Arabidopsis thaliana: one gene and its partner. The protein of the gene in region 1 interacts with the protein of each later gene in a biochemical or structural test. Each region holds a gene or a part of one and is shown on either strand. Other genes may lie near its edges.

Region 1 (7,805 bases):
TTCTTAAGTAACCTGTGAATGAATATGTATGTTTCAGCTGAGGAGAGTATTAGTGAGGGAGAATCCAAGACACTGATTCAGGAAGATGATGGGTACAACAGAATATGTGAATCGTCAACAGTCAGGTCTAACTCAAAAGGAAGCAGTGTCACACGGTGCAGGACTACTTGGCATCCTCCAATGGACCGGTATTTCATTGATCTGATGTTGGACCAAGCGAGGAGAGGAAACCAGATTGAAGGTGTTTTCAGGAAACAAGCATGGACTGAGATGGTTAATCTCTTCAATGCGAAATTTGAGTCTAACTTTGATGTTGATGTGTTGAAGAACCGGTATAAGTCTCTGAGAAGACAGTTCAACGCGATCAAGAGTATTCTTCGATCAGATGGGTTTGCTTGGGATAATGAGCGTCAAATGGTTACAGCTGATAATAATGTATGGCAAGACTATATAAAGGTAACTTAATCGCTCTGATCTATGCTGTGTGGTTAGTTACAGTGTTTTCGTCTCTGTTTTGATGTGTGTTCTTGTCTGAATTAATCACAGGCTCATAGAGATGCAAGGCAATTTATGACTCGGCCAATTCCGTACTATAAAGATCTGTGTGTGCTCTGTGGCGATTCTGGGATCGAAGAAAACGAATGCTTTGTAGCTATGGATTGGTTTGACCCTGAAACTGAATTCCAAGAATTTAAGTCCAGTGGTACTACAGATTTGTCTATTTCAGCTGAGGAAGAAGATAGCAACTCTCTTTTGTTTGACCCCAAGAACAAAAGAGATCAACTTGCTAATACTGATACAAGCCCTATAAACCCGAAAAAGCCTCGAGTTGATGAAACCCAAACCATGTCAATAGAGGACACGGTTGAGGCTATTCAAGCGTTACCAGACATGGACGATGAACTTATATTGGATGCTTGTGATCTGCTTGAAGATAAACTCAAGGCGAAAACTTTCTTGGCTCTAGATGTGAAACTACGCAAGAAGTGGTTGTTAAGGAAACTCCGACCTCAAGTGACTTGAGGATTATGAGCTGTAAAGAAGCAAAGTAGAAGTTTGACGATAAACAGAAGCTCATTGGCTTATACTACAGAGTACAGACTACTTTGCGAGAGTTTCATATACAAAGACTTATGCTCTTAGAAGTTGTAAATGTGATCAAATATGGCTGATGATATTAAACCTTGTACAAACTCTCTCTTCTTTGCCTTCTCTAGTAGCTCTGTATCTGACAAGGGAGACGGCGATTCCCAGTCTCTGAGCACACAGAAATACGAAATGTATCTTTAGACAAGGTTTAAGAAGATGAGATAAAGCAAGCAGAATCAAGAAAATGTCAAAGAATTACTTACTTTTCTGTTGAATCCCTTATTAAGCTATTGTCTTCCATGCTTGCTTCACTAGATGAATCAGGTTGTACAAGCTTGGACTTCTTTGGTGACGGCGGATTGTATATAAATGATAATAATGGGTCCAGAACACTTTTAGATGTATGATTAGTAGACAACGGCTCATCGATTAGAGACTGTAAGTATTTCCTAGTCCCTGGAGAAAATGCTGAATATGACTCATCCTTGTAAAGTCTCTGCTTTTGTTCAAGGTAAGTATTCGTCAAGGAACACAAATGTCAGATAACCGATATAAAACATACCAAGATATAGAATAAGCACAAAAAGACTTACAAGTTTTCTACTAAATGGTAACGAAAGCAAGAAGAGTAAATAAAAAAGGATACCTTGAAGACATCTCTATGCTGAGTGGTAATGTGATCAACCATATGCATCTTCACTCGTCTGCTACAAACCGGACATATCTACATCACAACCAAAGCTGAATTTGTGAGAAGTTATTACATTCATCATCACCAAAAGACTGTTTTCATTTCTCACACCAAACACTTCACAACTACAAAATGGTTCCTCATAGCATCAAGCAAATAATCCAAGTGAACTAAAATCCAAGAAGTCCCTACCAACTCTCCTTACAGAATCACAATCCTGCCTACTAAAGTAACCATTAGAGTACAACAATGAACATCACACGATAAATAGTCTAAATTTACAACTAACTGCTTCATGTAAAAACTCAAATGTATAGTTTAAAGAACAGTAACTGATTTGGGAGATGGATACGAGTTGCAATTACCCCATTGTTGGCGTCTAGTTGATGCTCCTCATCGATATGGTGACACAATTCAACTAAATCATAATCATCTGAGCAAAACGGGCATGGATAATCCACTGCCATTTCATCATCATCTTCAAACTCAATACATGAACCTAAACAAAAATTTCACCATCACAAAACTTTTATCAATTACATAACATAAAGTTTACCCATAAAGTGACAAAATTTAAACTCACTAGACCTTAAGGGCCAAAAGAATTGAAATTTGATAAAGAAATTAAAACCACCTGCATATAAAGCATAAACCCTAAAACAAAGCTAAATGCAATTGGGAAAAAGAATGGATCTTTACACTAACCCGACTGATACTTGGCAAGTTCTTCTAATCGATATTTCTTCGACGAATCAAACCCACAAATGCCCAACAAATCTTCTTCCATTTTGATTCTGAATCCACACGAACTTGAATTGAAAAATCTCAGATAATAATTAAAGGAGCATATTCTTCCTCCGTGTATTTATTAGCATCTGTCAGTACTTTGTTCAGCCTGAAAGTGCGAGGAAACACACCAAAAAGGCAAGACCTTTAAATGTGGTCTTTTTCTCTGGCGACATGAGGGAATCCATGGACACGAATCTATTGAGCTAAATCCAATGACCAAACTACCCCTAACCGGTCACTATAGCCTCTTTTACCCTGAACCACCAACGTCCCTCTGTTGACTTTTAGCCGCCACGAATCTACGGGCATTTTCGTCTTTGCGCCACCGTCTTAAAACGTGTGCTCCACACACTTATATTGACCCTATCGCGCAAGTGGACTATAAGCCCAATATATAAATGGGCCTAAAAAGGCCCAAATACTTCTCCTTCGTTGCTAAGTCTGTAACACGCGCTAATGAGAAACGATTTTGCGATTCAGATTCGTTTGCTTTTGCCGACGACAAAAGCTCCGATTTTGTTTATTTTCTCCGGGAAATTTTACTTTCGAGATTCTGTTGAGAATCAATTGATTTGGTATTGATGGCGACGAGGAATCGAACGACGGTGTACCGGAAACACAGGGATGCGTGTAAGAGCGCGCGTGCTCCATTATCTTTATCGGCGTCTGATTCGTTCGGTGGTCCGGTGATCGAAATGGTTAGCGGTTCATTTTCCCGGTCCAATCACTCCTCTTATGCTCCTTTGAATTCCTATGATCCTGGTCCATCAAGGTAATAATATAATGTGTTGTTTGATTCTGCAAAACCTGGGAAATTCTATGAACTTATATATAGAAACGAATTGTAATCATGGGATTGATTTGAGATACAGAATTAGAACCCTAAACGAATTAGGTAACAGAATGAGCAAATGATTTAAGTGTTGTTGTGAATGTTTGCAGTAGTGATGCCTTCACAATTGGTATGCCACCAGCTTGGGTTGATGATTCTGAGGAGATAACTTTTAATATACAAAAGGTGCGAGACAAAATGAATGAACTAGCAAAGGCACATTCAAAGGCTCTTATGCCTACATTTGGAGATAACAAAGGGATTCATCGTGAAGTCGAGATGCTCACTCATGAGATCACAGATTTGTTGAGGAAGTCAGAAAAGAGATTGCAGATGTTATCTACTAGAGGGCCTTCTGAAGAATCAAATCTCAGGAAAAATGTGCAGGTAGGTTGTTGGACACTTTTTCAGAATCGAGCTTGTTAACAATAAAGAATGCATGGTCATTACCTTTTCTTTTGTGCTTTTAGAGAAGAAAGTTAGGAATTTTGGGTTAAATCACTCTCATATGTTTTGACTACCTATCTAGTTGACATTATCAGTCAGCAAAATGTATGAAGTGTTTTTTTTTCCCTCTATATAATGTACTTTGGGTTATTCTATGTTTTGAGTTTGTAGCATGAGGATAAAGTTCTGTGTACATGTATAGTGGGGCTCTCCAATGGACTTGACCTACTTTTTGGCATACTGCTTTTGACAGCGTTCTCTTGCAACAGATCTTCAGAACCTTTCCATGGAGCTCCGCAGAAAACAGTCTACTTACTTAAAACGTCTGCAGCAGCAGAAAGAGGTATGTTTCCTTTATTTTCAAGAAATAAACAAAAAAAGTGTTGATTCTTGAGACATGCATGTACCGTAATATGATGTTCTTATTTGTATTTGGCTTCTCTAATCATAGGGTCAGGATGAAGTAGATTTAGAGTTTAATGTGAATGGAAAGATGTCGAGACTGGATGAAGAGGATGAACTTGGTGGGATGGTAAGTGCTTACTTGTATTGTAAAACTATATATCATTGACAAATTAATAAGGACTTAATATGGTTATCTAGCTAGAGCAATTCAGATTTTTAATCAGTTATCCTTGTCTTCCTTACATTTTTAAGAAACACTTCTTATGGTTATCATGCTAGGACGAGTCAGATTTTTTTTAATCAATCTTCAGAACCTTGTCGTCCTTACTCTGCCAATACCATAATGAGAATCGCTGGTCTTCAATAAATTGTAGGGTTTCGATGAACACCAGACAATCAAGTTGAAGGAAGGGCAACATGTCTCAGCGGAAAGGGAACGAGAGATACAACAGGTAATGGAAGTTGTTACTCGACCATATTTAAGAAGCTGCGTGCTTCACATTTTCGATGGCGATTAACTTCAGAGTTCTGTCTAGGTTCTGGGTTCCGTGAATGACCTTGCACAGATAATGAAAGACTTATCAGCCCTTGTGATTGACCAGGTGCCTAGCTTAGTCATTAAAAGGCTTATGAATTACATAACTGGCTAGATACAAAGTTTTTGCTGGCTTCTCAACAATTAGTTTTCTTATATTCTTGTATCAATTAGGGCACGATTGTTGATCGGATAGACTACAATGTCCAAAACGTTTCTACATCGGTCGAGGAAGGCTATAAACAACTACAAAAGGTTTGATTCTTTACCCAAAACTCATAAGATTTTGTGAGTACTACAGATTTTTCACCGTATGGAACTCACAAAGACATTTCAATTTTTAAATAGGCGGAGAGAACACAAAGAGAAGGAGCAATGGTGAAATGTGCAACTATACTCCTTGTACTCTGTTTGATCATGATTGTTCTTTTAATTCTTAAGAATATTTTGTTTTAGTCATATGCCAACAATTTAGAATGAAAAACAGCTTGTCTTGTTTGTAACAAACAGTAACCCTCTCTTTTTTCTAGTTGAATTCTCTTTTCCAATCGTTTTACCAAATCTGTAGAAGTATTTTGTGTAAACCGTAAATGGTTAAAATCACTATAGTTAAGAAATAAACTGACACTAAACTACCTAGTGGGAAAATGTGATAATCACTACAAGAATCACTAGTCCTCCAAATTCAATAACACATGAAGGAAATCAAGTAATCAACTCATAATGAAAAATTGAAAATGATCTTTTTGTGCAAGGGAGAAAAAAATAAAACAAAAACGAATGCGTTGGCTTCACACACTTTAGATTAGCAAACCTAGACATATAAACTCATAGAGAAACTCGTGACAAGTTGTTTTGAGGCTCATGTTAAACAAAATTTTGTGACACTCGTGCAAGACGATGATCGTCCTCTTGAACTAGAACAATGAGCCGAGAGTACTCCTCTCAGTGCTATGCAAACACAAGCTCTTTGGGTAACTAGGGTTACCTCTTTTTGTTTTTTTATTGATTTTCTTAAAACAAAAGACTGAAGAACAAATACTCGATACAACTCTATTTATACTCAAAGACTCGATTCCTCCTTGGACCAGGATTCAACGGAAAACCTTAACGAAAAATAAAGGAAAAATATTCAAACGACCCTAATAATTTCTTGAACACAGAAAAACGTGTGTGACACACAAAGCCCAAAACTAAACATCATCAGTCTCTCTTTGTAAAACGCTTTATGCAAATATCAGAGCAAAGATAAGAAACTGAGGTTTCAGGTATCTTATAGATGATAGGGTACATGCAATGCGACTTACACTGCCTGCAAAACGGGCGAGATACATTCTTGTTGAGCACAACCTCATATGATCCCGTCTCAGCCTTTACTACGCTTCCTGGCATGAGCCCTGAAAAGTCTCCGACTACACACTCTGTGTGCAAACTAGCCCATTGATCTTTACATGTGTAGAACCATTTCTCTGGATTCATTTTTTTCTCACAAATCTCACACCAATATATACCATTTGCCTTTTCGCCATAGCATAGTAAGAGAGGATAATCGTCAACTCTATGCTTTAACACTCGCGGTAAAGTGGCGCATTTGAAGCATAAGACAAATCCACAACCATCTTCAATGCACCTGAGCATTCTAGTTCCCGACATGTTACAACCATTGCAGACTTCTTCCATCTCTGGTGAAATGTAATATAAGGGATGATCGGGATGACTTGGATGGACAAATGGCTCCAACACTGAACAACATATGACATCTAATTTCATATCCCCATATTGGTAACTGAAACCATTGGAGATTCTACCACAAACATTACACCAAAAGTGACCAGCCTCGCGTGTAAATAAAGTAAGCCGTTCATTGTGTAGCACATGTCGTTTCCTTTTAGGAAATTTAGCACAGTTTTGGTGAAGAATGAAGTCACAATCCATACAACCATAGAAGGATTCGAGGCAAACGGAATGGGTGCATGCGCTGCACCGCTTGTTTTCATCACATAAAACACCATTGTCGTCGAGTTTTAGGTAATGCTCTTCGTGGCTGAAATGTTGTATTGTGTTGTCATCTATTACCACATACGGCTCTATATCTTCTGTTTCTTCAATAACTCCTTCGAGTTCTTTCCCGTTCCACACATCTTTTCTTGTAGCACATTTGGAATGAACGACATAGTTAGAACACCTTTGACAAGAATAACCTCCCCAAGTCCAATCCACTTTTTGGCGACAAACTCCACACACAGAATATACAAGACCCAGAAGATTAGTGCGAGCAACACGGTGATCATGCCGATTTATGTTTATAAGGCGTGGAAGGGTAAGACACTCTTGGTGGATGATGAAATTACATTGAACACATATGTAAGGGCTTCGATCTCCCTTCAGCCCACAAGCATTACATGTAAAAGAGTCGAGTCTTGGGAGAAGAGTGAGTTGGTGATCATGAGTTTTCGAATCCTCGAAAGATATTGATGGCGGGTTTAAAGCACAACGCATATCCAAGGTGAAGTTACATGGAGAACAATGATAGAACAAAGGGCTATCGATCTTTTTTTCGCAAAGACGACATTTTCCATCAGAATAGTCTGGTAGTTGACCTGTGAGAACAAGCTTAAGAGGGTGCAAGGGGTGGCAAGAGTGATTCTTTACGTCTAGCGGGTGGATTACCTCTGGCAGGTGTTTTACCCCGGATGGATGCAAAACACAGTCGATATGAAAGGTCAAACCACATTCAAGACATTTGTAAGGAAAGCCATAACCAATCTCCTCACATTTAGCATCACAATGAAACTCGATCTTCTCCTTGAGAAGGGTGCGCTTGTGGCATGGTGTCTCAGAACTTTCAATAACCTCTGGTGGTGGGTACTTTGCACAATATAGATCCACGTCGAAGTTACCAAAATGATAGCATAGATCCTTAATGTCCCTTCCACATAAATTACAATAACGATATTTTTGTTTACTTAGAAGCTGAAGAGTGTGACCGGGATGAGATGGATGCTCGATAGATTCAG
Region 2 (9,621 bases), on another chromosome or scaffold:
GTAACTTTTGTCTTAGCTGGTGAAGATTAGGCTTATACAGCCATATGTTTCCTTGACGGGCAACAAGTTCTTGACCCGTAAAAAGATTCGGTATTGGAAAGCAATCAGATACCAAAATCACATGAACATTATGAAGTCCTTTAGAAGAAGCCGCCACTCGAGCTGCTGCAAGTTGTAAATGCAAGCGAGCCACATCTCTAGACCATTTTCCTGATTTATCACACGGAAGCTTGGCAATTACAAGATCAATCCGAGGCTTGCCAGGAATTTGAATCAAAGGCAGAGAAGGACAAGTAGGGACTTCGAATTCTTCAACTTCATCAATCCATTCCGGGTATAAAGATTCCCATGTTATGTTCTTTGCAGCATAATCTAGATGCAAAGCTACATGATCACAGTCAGATTTCGTTACCTCCTTGAATCGATCAATCTCGTTATCGTTAAGATTTATAAGACCAATTCCTTGATACTCGCTTCTACCAAATACGTGCTTCTCAACAAGATTTGACATATGGTTCCAGTTGATCTCAGCTGTAGCTACATAGCGAGGATCAGTAGTAAGACCAAAACTAGTTGGAATTTCAGGAATTTGTAGCGGTGGATAACGAAAACGGTAGATCGTGAACAAAGCTCCAAGCATTATACAAATCAACACAAGTTTCAGAGTGTTGAACTTGACACCCTTCTCAATTCTTTGAAATCTCCTCCTACTTGTCTTCTCACTACACACAACAAAACAAACGAATGAGTCATTATCTATGTCAATCCAACAGATAGATAAACATAGATCGCTTGTGAAACACATTTCTGAATCAAAAACAAAATCGAAGATCTGATTTCCAGAAAAGTCAACCATGTGTGTGAAGCTACTAAGTTAACTAAGAATAGTACGTAGTGTTCATGAAACTAGAGAAACTAATGAAGAATAAGAAGAAGAAGACGAAGACTAACTTTGAGAACGAGAGTCGATGTCTTGACTCCATGGGACTTGAGGAAGGTATCATCGTCTCCGTAAGACCAGGGTCGGTTTCGAGAATTTCATAATCGCCTGGTAAACAACAAAAGACGAGACATTTTAGGGATTTGGGAAGGAGAAATTAATTTGATTTTGGACCAAGGCACAAAACGGTGCGTATTAGGAAAATGAGATTTTTAGAAGTCCGTGTTTTGCAAAACGAACCTTTACTTATCAGGTATTTGTTATTTTAACCCCTACTCTAATGTTTGAATAAATTTTAACCAGAAAACGAAAATCACACACAGTAGTACGGTTTTACGCGGTGGAGGAAGAATCAGCAGCGACGGTGGAGTTGGTCTGAGTCTCACCCCAATGCCAAAGCATACTCTCCCAGAAACAGAAATCTTCAAAACAAGTCGTAAGTCTCTTATCTTTGATCTTAATCCTCCAATGTCCGTCTCTGTAATTCGCTTTCTCAGCTTGTCTCCGATCCCACTCAAGTTGCGCCTTTTGTTTCGAACTCAGTAGACAAAACCTCTGCAATTTCTTAGGCATCGCGTCGTGCACTCTCCACCAAGTTTTGTGTGCTTCATCGCTCGCGAATTGATGGTATCCAACGACATTCCAATTGCAATCGTAGTCTCTGAAGCATACCCATGGTTTGTTGTAACCTAGGTAATGAAGAACGTAGAGTATCGGAGGATCAGCTCCAAATAGTCTCGTCTTAGATTTCCTGTGCTTAGGTGTGTCTCCTTCCCAGAAATGCTTCAAGAAATTCATGTGTTTTGGAATCCGATGCCACCATGTGAATATCTCGTTAAGGTAACCTTGGTCTCCTCCATTGTAGGAATTGATATCGTTGATGTGATCCATTAGTAACTGGAATGTTGAATTTGATGGTTCAATCACCATTAGACCGGAGTTGAAGAGCGTACCGTCGTTTCCAGTTGTGGAGATTTCGGGGTACTCGAAGAGGAAATCCATGTTTCTGAGGATAAGCATGTCTGCATCAATGAAGATGATCTTGTTGTATTCTGTCAATTCCCAAAGACGGAATTTGCTGTAGTTCCATTGGTTATATGCATTTGCTTCAGCTTTCGGGTTTCTGATTCTTTGAAATGTGTGAATCTTCCATCCAGCTGATTCCAAGCCACTTCTATGGTATTCACTGATCGAATCATCGACTAGTATTACCAAATTGCGAGTAGAGCCTGACATTCGAATGCTCTGTGCTACTGCAATGGCTCCACAGACAAAAGCATCATCTGAGTGCAAGATCGTCGCGTACGCTTCTTTCTTGGCATTTGCCGAGTAGAAATTATCTGCAATTGAATCATAATCAGCTTAGGAGGAGAGAATAGAGATGTCAAATTTAGCTGATACAAAAGACGAAGAAACTTACTACTGAGTCACTGACCTTTAGCTTGAAGAGGAACAGAAAGTTCACAGGAACCAACAGGAAGTTGTAACTTTTGTCTTAACTGGTGAAGTTTAGGCTTATACAGCCATATGTTTCCTTGACGGGCAACAAGTTCTTGACCCGTAAAAAGATTCGGTATTGGAAAGCAATCTGATACCAAAATCACATGAACATCATGAAGCCCTTCAGAAGATGCCGCCACTCGAGCTGCTGCAAGTTGTAAGTGCAATCTAGCCACATCTCTTGACCATTTTCCTGACTTGTTACATGGGAGCTTGGCAATGATAAGATCGATTCGAGACTTGTCAGGAACTTGAATCCAAGGAAGAGAAGGACAAGTGGGGACTTTGAATTTTTCTTCCTCGTCAATCCATTCCGGGTATAAAGATTTCCAAGTTATGTTACTTGCAGCATGGTCTAGATGCAAAGCTATATGCTGACAGTGAGATTTTATGACCACCTGCCATCGATTAATCTCGTTATCGTTGAGATTTAGAAAGCCAATTCCTTGATACTCGCTTCTGCCAGATAAGTAATGCTCAACAACAAGTGACATACTGTTCCAGTTGATCTCAGATGTAGCTATATAGCGAGGATCTGTGGTTACAGCAGGTTCTAGTATCCATTTGTTTGCAAAACTTGATGGATCTTCAGGAATTTGCAACGGTGGAGAACAGTAGAGTGTGAACATAGCAACCAGCATCATAAGAAACAAAACAAGTTTCAGACTAGAGAAGTTGACACACATTTCAACATCGAGAGTGTATCCGTTTCTTTGGAATCTCTTCGTTTTTGTTTTCTCACTATATATGTAAAACAAATGCACTATGTCAAGCCAACAGATGAATACAGATCTCTGTAATGCACATACTCAACCACATTGCTCTCATGATCTATGATCCTATCTGATTCCCCTAAGTTAGGTAAAGTAGTTTCCATTGAACTCAAGAAACTGATGAAGTAGAAGAGAAAAAGACTTACCTGGAAATGTAAAGTCGATGACTTGACTGACTTGACGGCGCCATGGGACTTTCAGAAGAGAGCTTCATTCTCACTGTAAGAATATTAAGTTTGACTTTCCTGAGTGAGAGACTACATGAAGCTGGATGCATCGAGCATTACAATAATCACACGTTTTTGACGCTAATCCAAATTATATTATATTAGCGGACGGATCGGAACAAAATCAACACGATGGGTCAATGTTAAGTTTGAATTTTTTTGCGGAAAAATCCTGATCTATTAGATGTTTCCTTTGTAAAACCCTGATGTTTTATTACTTAATAAATAAACCCTCAAATTAGGTTCAGTTAATCAAAAATTAAGTTTGTGTTGAAAAGAGGAATAACCAATAAAATATAGGGTTTGTTTTGCAAAAACACTTTTCTTCGTATGAGTCGACGAGTCTGGGGACCTTTTAGTTTTCTCGATTAAGGAAAGGAAGATCTGAAAGTGAACGCGAAATCACTTCGCCAGCGTTATTGTTAACAAGAATCATCAGATTAGTCGCCGTAGATCTGAATCAACGTCGTAACAGTAGCAGAATTTTGCGGTGAAACGATGGTTTTGGTTACGTCTGTGCGTGATTACATTAACCGGATGCTTCAGGACATCTCCGGCATGAAGGTTCTCATACTCGACTCCGAAACGGTAAAGTCCGATCTCGTCTTCTTCGATTGCTAATCTTCTCTGATTTGTTTCTGGAATCGTGGTTCATAATTTCCCTTGTAACCGGAAACACATCTTCGTGATTACTTGTTTATTGGATTAATTGTTGAATTTGCAGGTTAGCAATGTAAGCATTGTGTATTCACAGTCAGAGCTGCTTCAGAAAGAAGTGTTTCTGGTGGAGATGATAGATTCAATATCTGTGTCAAAAGAATCGATGTCACATCTGAAAGCTGTTTATTTCATCCGTCCAACTTCAGATAATATTCAGAAATTACGATACCAGCTTGCGAATCCTAGATTTGGAGAATACCATTTATGTATGATTTTTTCATCTTCTAACTATTTCGAGTTTATCATTGTTCACTCACAATATACAAAATTTGATGTTGTTTTTGTTATGAATTCTTTCAGTTTTCTCCAATCTGTTGAAGGATACTCAGATTCATATTTTGGCTGATTCCGATGAGCAGGAAGTTGTACAGCAAGTTCAGGTGATTTTTAGACTTCCCTCATCCATGATGTTTTTGAATAGGAGGCTAATGCTAAAAGAATGTTTCATAGCCTATATGATGGATCAATATATGTATAGATTTTTAGCTGTCTCTGAGAAGTTGCTTGGTTTGTGATGAAACGGCCATACTTGTGGAGCTTAGTATCCCCCCTACCTGTCTTTAGTTTTCTGATTTAAACTTATATTGCTTGGTGCACTCGGCATAGTACTGTATAATGGCTTGTTTAACATAGTCTTTGTGGTTTTTTATATTGCAGGAGTATTATGCAGACTTTGTTTCTGGTGATCCATATCATTTCACATTGAATATGGCATCAAATCATCTATATATGATCCCCGCAGTTGTCGATCCCTCTGGTTTGCAACGCTTTTCCGATCGGGTTGTTGATGGAATTGCGGCAGTGTTTCTGGCGTTGAAACGAAGACCTGTCATCAGATATCAGAGGACCTCTGATACTGCAAAAAGGATTGCACACGAAACAGCTGTAAGTGAAGTTGTTTGACAAGCTCTCGTAAAGTTATTTGTTCCCGCTATATTTTGCATGCATGTGATGGAACTAATTCCCACTTGTGTCTATCCAATAGTCTGAAAATTCGCTGTTTATGTTTCAGAAATTGATGTATCAGCATGAAAGCGCTCTTTTTGACTTTAGACGGACTGAAAGCTCTCCGTTGCTACTTGTAATTGACAGAAGAGATGACCCGGTTACCCCATTGCTGAATCAGTGGACATATCAGGTAACTTGACTAAACAAAATTATTGTGCTACTCTATGATATAAGATGTGCCTCCCGCTGTCTTGCTTTTTTGTAAGACTACGACTTACTAATTAACGAGATTTTCTGTAGGCAATGGTGCACGAACTCATAGGACTTCAAGATAATAAAGTGGACTTGAAATCCATTGGAAGTCTTCCAAAAGATCAGCAAGTGGTTAGTTTTCTCCAATGCCATTGTTTTTTAGTTGAGAACCTTACAGCTAATATGTCTCTTATCCTGGCAGGAGGTGGTTTTATCATCAGAACAAGATGCATTTTTCAAATCTAACATGTATGAAAATTTTGGGGATATTGGAATGAACATCAAGCGAATGGTAGATGACTTTCAGCAGGTGGCCAAGAGTAACCAAAATATCCAGACAGTAGGTACAAATATGGCTAGTCTTAAACTATTCTCTGCAAAAACTTTTGTAACAACAGATTCTCGTGCTAGTGACAATTATATATCTGTGAATTCGTTGGTTGTACAGAGGATATGGCCAGATTTGTTGACAACTACCCTGAGTACAAAAAGATGCAAGGCAACGTTTCAAAGCATGTAACTCTGGTTACTGAAATGAGCAAGCTAGTTGAAGCAAGGAAACTGATGACGGTTTCACAAACAGAGCAGGACTTGGCTTGCAATGGTGGCCAAGGAGCTGCATATGAGGTAGTGAATATCTGTGGTGAACATTCACTTGTAGTCGCATATATTAAAAAATAGCTACAACCTGCAGAAGTTCTTACTGAATAATTTGGCATTCAATAATTTGGAGTCTCATGCGAATGTAATCCAGTGAACCTGCAGAAGTTAGCGAAATATGCAAAATTGTGCAGACTCTGCTGTAAGCACGGAGCTCTGACTCTCTATTCATGCTTATTTGCAGGCAGTTACGGATCTCTTAAATAATGAAAGTGTGTCTGACATCGACCGGCTGCGTTTGGTAATGCTATATGCTTTGCGCTATGAGAAAGAAAATCCTGTTCAGTTGATGCAATTGTTCAACAAATTGGCTTCACGGTCTCCCAAGTACAAACCAGGGGTACAGTCAGACTATCATCTGTTTCCTTTCAGTTTAAATTGCATCTCTTTCTTGTGGCTTTATTATTCTGCATCTCTTTTAAGGTTGATTTTGATCTGTCCCTCTGCTACTACTATACTTGTTAACCTATCTGCAATTCCGTCCATAGTAGTTTTACCTTTTCGTTTTTATTTTTGAATAACTTGATAAAAGTACCCTCAAATCATGTTATAACTTTCTGGTTGCCATGCAACTGCAGCTAGTTCAATTTCTCTTGAAACAAGCCGGTGTGGAGAAGCGCACTGGTGATCTATTTGGAAACAGAGATCTTTTGAATATAGCACGTAACATGGCTCGTGGACTTAAGGTCTGTATCTGAGTTAACTCGTCTCCAGCAACATTCTATATCTCCCTATATATATGTCATGTTACTGACATCTTGAAAAATACAGGGTGTTGAGAATGTCTACACTCAACATCAGCCTCTTCTGTTTCAAACAATGGAGAGCATAACTAGAGGGAGATTACGAGATGTGGATTACCCATTTGTTGGAGATCATTTTCAACAGGGACGGTATGTGCCTCTAATTTTTTCAATTTCTTAAAACAGGTAACTTGTTTGATAGTTACAGATTTCTGCAATTCGTGAAAACTTACATAACTAATCAAAAACTGCAAAATTTCTGGATAAACAGGCCACAAGAGGTGGTTATTTTTATGGTTGGTGGAACAACATACGAGGAATCACGCTCTGTTGCTCTACAGAATGCCACCAACTCCGGGGTTCGGTTTATTCTCGGCGGCACCGCAGTGCTTAATTCCAAGAGGTAATGCTGAGGTTAAGACAGTGTGTGCAAATGAGCCTCGATTGGTTTTGAGTTCTAGGTCGAAACAGCACTGATCAACTAAAATATCAACATTGGTTAAGTCATAGAAGGCCCAAACCGAAATTGCTGTTTGAATTAAATAATAACTAGGAATCTAAATTGGTCTACAAAGTTCATGAAAGTGTATTATAAGAGAAATGTAAGCTGAAAAGTGAATTTGGTTGTGACAGATTTCTAAAGGACTTGGAAGAAGCACAAAGGATATCAAGATCAGGTAGCCATATGGTGTGAAGAAGATCCAAAAGAATTTTGTGTAAATTATTTTTTAAGTCTTAAGATTCTTCCGGGGAGCACATAGAAGAAAGAGACAAATGAAAGAAGAAGATTGTGGTCAGGTTCGTCGAATCTTTCGTATACATGATGATGATTACCCCACCAGAGATTTAATTTTTGGGGTTTGTGTGTGTATTCATCGTGGTACAGTTTAATTGGACCGTTCTTCTTACACAATTATGGCTAATCAAGAAAATGTAACCTGAGGAAATTTTACTCCTCTATCATAATTGCACAAAACAGAATTAATAATCTTTTTCAAAATTATAATAACACTTTAGACAAAAACCAGAGAGATTTCATAACAAAAAATCTTTATTACTCTTAAAAAACAAAATCATATGTGGAATTTTTGAAATATTACTAGTTTACTACTCCCTTTTATAATAATGAATAAAATCACTTTTATAATAGTAAATTAGTAATGAGTAAAATCTGACTGACGTCAATCAAAAGTAAGTACCGATTTGGGAAAGAGAACAATCAAAGAGAAAACATAAAAACAGAGCTCTTTTGAGTATATATGGAGTATCTTATGTAGCTCGGCTACTGTCGCCGTTGGATTTCTCAAATGTCGTAATATGATGTGAGAGCGAAGCTGACACAACTCTCTGTCTCTGCTCTGGAAGCATTTTTACTTGTTGTTCTTTCACACATACACACTTCACAGAAACCCTCCATTACAACATAATAGTATATATTTACTATACATTCCAAAAAAATCATTAGGTTTACTTTTACATCCAAATTTCATACTTTTAACAAAGCGATTATGTGCAATTTAATCCTCTATCAAGTTGGATTTTGAGGGGTTAAAATTGTTTGAAGTCAACTAGCAAAAGTCTCATTCTTGAGAAATATTCGTCTTGCGGTAATTTTTGCTATAGTTTTATTAAAACGTCAAATCAGTAATAAAAACAATTAAAGAATTGAGGAGCTCGAGAAAAGTTCTTCACATACATCTCTTTCTTTCTGCTTAGCTCTTAAGCAGTCTCTGACTGTCCATTTCATATCAAATTTTAAAACTATTGACTATACTAGATCCTTCTCTGTTTCTTCGATCCCTTCATCTAAATTGTCTCCTCTCTTTATTTATTATTTATTCAATTCGATTACGTATATAATTTTTAAGTTAACTAGATAATGCATAATTTCTTAGTTAATTAGTTATCTGACTTTTTGAATTTTGATTACTGTGTGCTTAGCCGAAGTTTCTAGCAAACTACCACGGATTTAAATTCGAAAGAATAAAGCGTGACGAAATAGATAAGACAAAAAAGAAGAAGGAGAGATTACTTATCAAAGTACATATGGTTGAAAGTGATGGTTTGGTTATTAATTAATTACAGTTTTAACTTTAGATATTTTGTCTGTGGTCTTATATATACACCTCATCGTTCTTATCATATGATTCTGATTTTAGATATTCGTAAGAAAATTACCAATTGGTTACATTTTCAACAACGAATGCAAATATGCAATTCATGCTAAATTGGAAAATTTGTCATCCCAACTTTCATGAAAAGTCAGTGCTGGAGGGTTTTAGAGGTTGAGCATTTAAATCAAATTCTTTTGATTTCTGAAAGAAAAATTTACTACAAAAAAAAAGGAAGTTTAACTTTTTAAGAAAATATTGAATGTTTTTCACTGATCTAATTATAGTGAATCTAATATATCACTTTTACTTTTCATGAATTATGTTAATTTGTAATTTTGTATATTCAGTAACATTCATGTTACTTATAAAAAAGGTTCATTATACACTATTATATTATATTCAAATCAGTTTTTTGTAACGTTATAACCGTTTTTTTTTTAAACACTCTTTTTTTGTCGCTAAAAAAACACTCTACATAAGAGTCTCTAGTACTAAAATTTCGATTATTCGACTATTAAATTCTGTCGTTTTAGTTTTCAACTCACATGTTAATTAAACTCTCTATGTTGTTCTTTTAGAAAATGTTGTTCTACAATTCATCTAAATCTTTAGGACTACAATACATGTCAACCTTAAACCAAAATATAACCATGGTCCATATATAGGAGATAAACATTCAAAATGAATAAAAATGTATTTATCTAATTCAGCATCTTCAAAGAAGTAGTCTTCGTATCAAATGTA

What was found. Proteins that work in one complex are often made in the same cells at the same time.
Region 2: the proteins of SYP42 (region 1) and VPS45 form a complex in vitro, tested with the Arabidopsis thaliana proteins (one study listed by BioGRID).

What each region holds. Positions count from the first base shown.
Region 1 is NC_003075.7:967,538-975,342, reverse strand, and holds SYP42 (syntaxin of plants 42), read left to right. Parts: upstream 1-3,000; 5' UTR 3,001-3,150; coding exon 3,151-3,341; intron 3,342-3,511; coding exon 3,512-3,788; intron 3,789-4,101; coding exon 4,102-4,191; intron 4,192-4,299; coding exon 4,300-4,380; intron 4,381-4,627; coding exon 4,628-4,705; intron 4,706-4,789; coding exon 4,790-4,855; intron 4,856-4,962; coding exon 4,963-5,043; intron 5,044-5,136; coding exon 5,137-5,244; 3' UTR 5,245-5,349; downstream 5,350-7,805. Other genes in the region: AT4G02210 (Myb/SANT-like DNA-binding domain protein), read left to right, coding at 38-456, 547-1,023; AT4G02200 (Drought-responsive family protein), read right to left, coding at 1,140-1,257, 1,353-1,585, 1,736-1,813, 2,043-2,084, 2,146-2,279, 2,486-2,567; AT4G02190 (Cysteine/Histidine-rich C1 domain family protein), read right to left, coding at 5,992-7,805. UniProt on the Arabidopsis thaliana protein: Contributes to the regulation of secretory and vacuolar transport pathways in the post-Golgi network, and to the maintenance of the Golgi apparatus and trans-Golgi network (TGN) morphologies.
Region 2 is NC_003070.9:28,980,225-28,989,845, forward strand, and holds VPS45 (vacuolar protein sorting 45), read left to right. Parts: upstream 1-3,709; 5' UTR 3,710-3,938; coding exon 3,939-4,028; intron 4,029-4,164; coding exon 4,165-4,366; intron 4,367-4,460; coding exon 4,461-4,540; intron 4,541-4,817; coding exon 4,818-5,045; intron 5,046-5,172; coding exon 5,173-5,298; intron 5,299-5,408; coding exon 5,409-5,492; intron 5,493-5,562; coding exon 5,563-5,704; intron 5,705-5,808; coding exon 5,809-5,987; intron 5,988-6,204; coding exon 6,205-6,360; intron 6,361-6,598; coding exon 6,599-6,706; intron 6,707-6,791; coding exon 6,792-6,913; intron 6,914-7,034; coding exon 7,035-7,166; intron 7,167-7,396; coding exon 7,397-7,457; 3' UTR 7,458-7,811; downstream 7,812-9,621. Other genes in the region: PGSIP2 (plant glycogenin-like starch initiation protein 2), read right to left, coding at 1-722, 952-1,004. UniProt on the Arabidopsis thaliana protein: Involved in the protein transport to the vacuole, probably at the level of vesicle fusion at the trans-Golgi network (TGN) and not in transport from the TGN to the prevacuolar compartment, by promoting the recycling of vacuolar sorting receptors back to the TGN.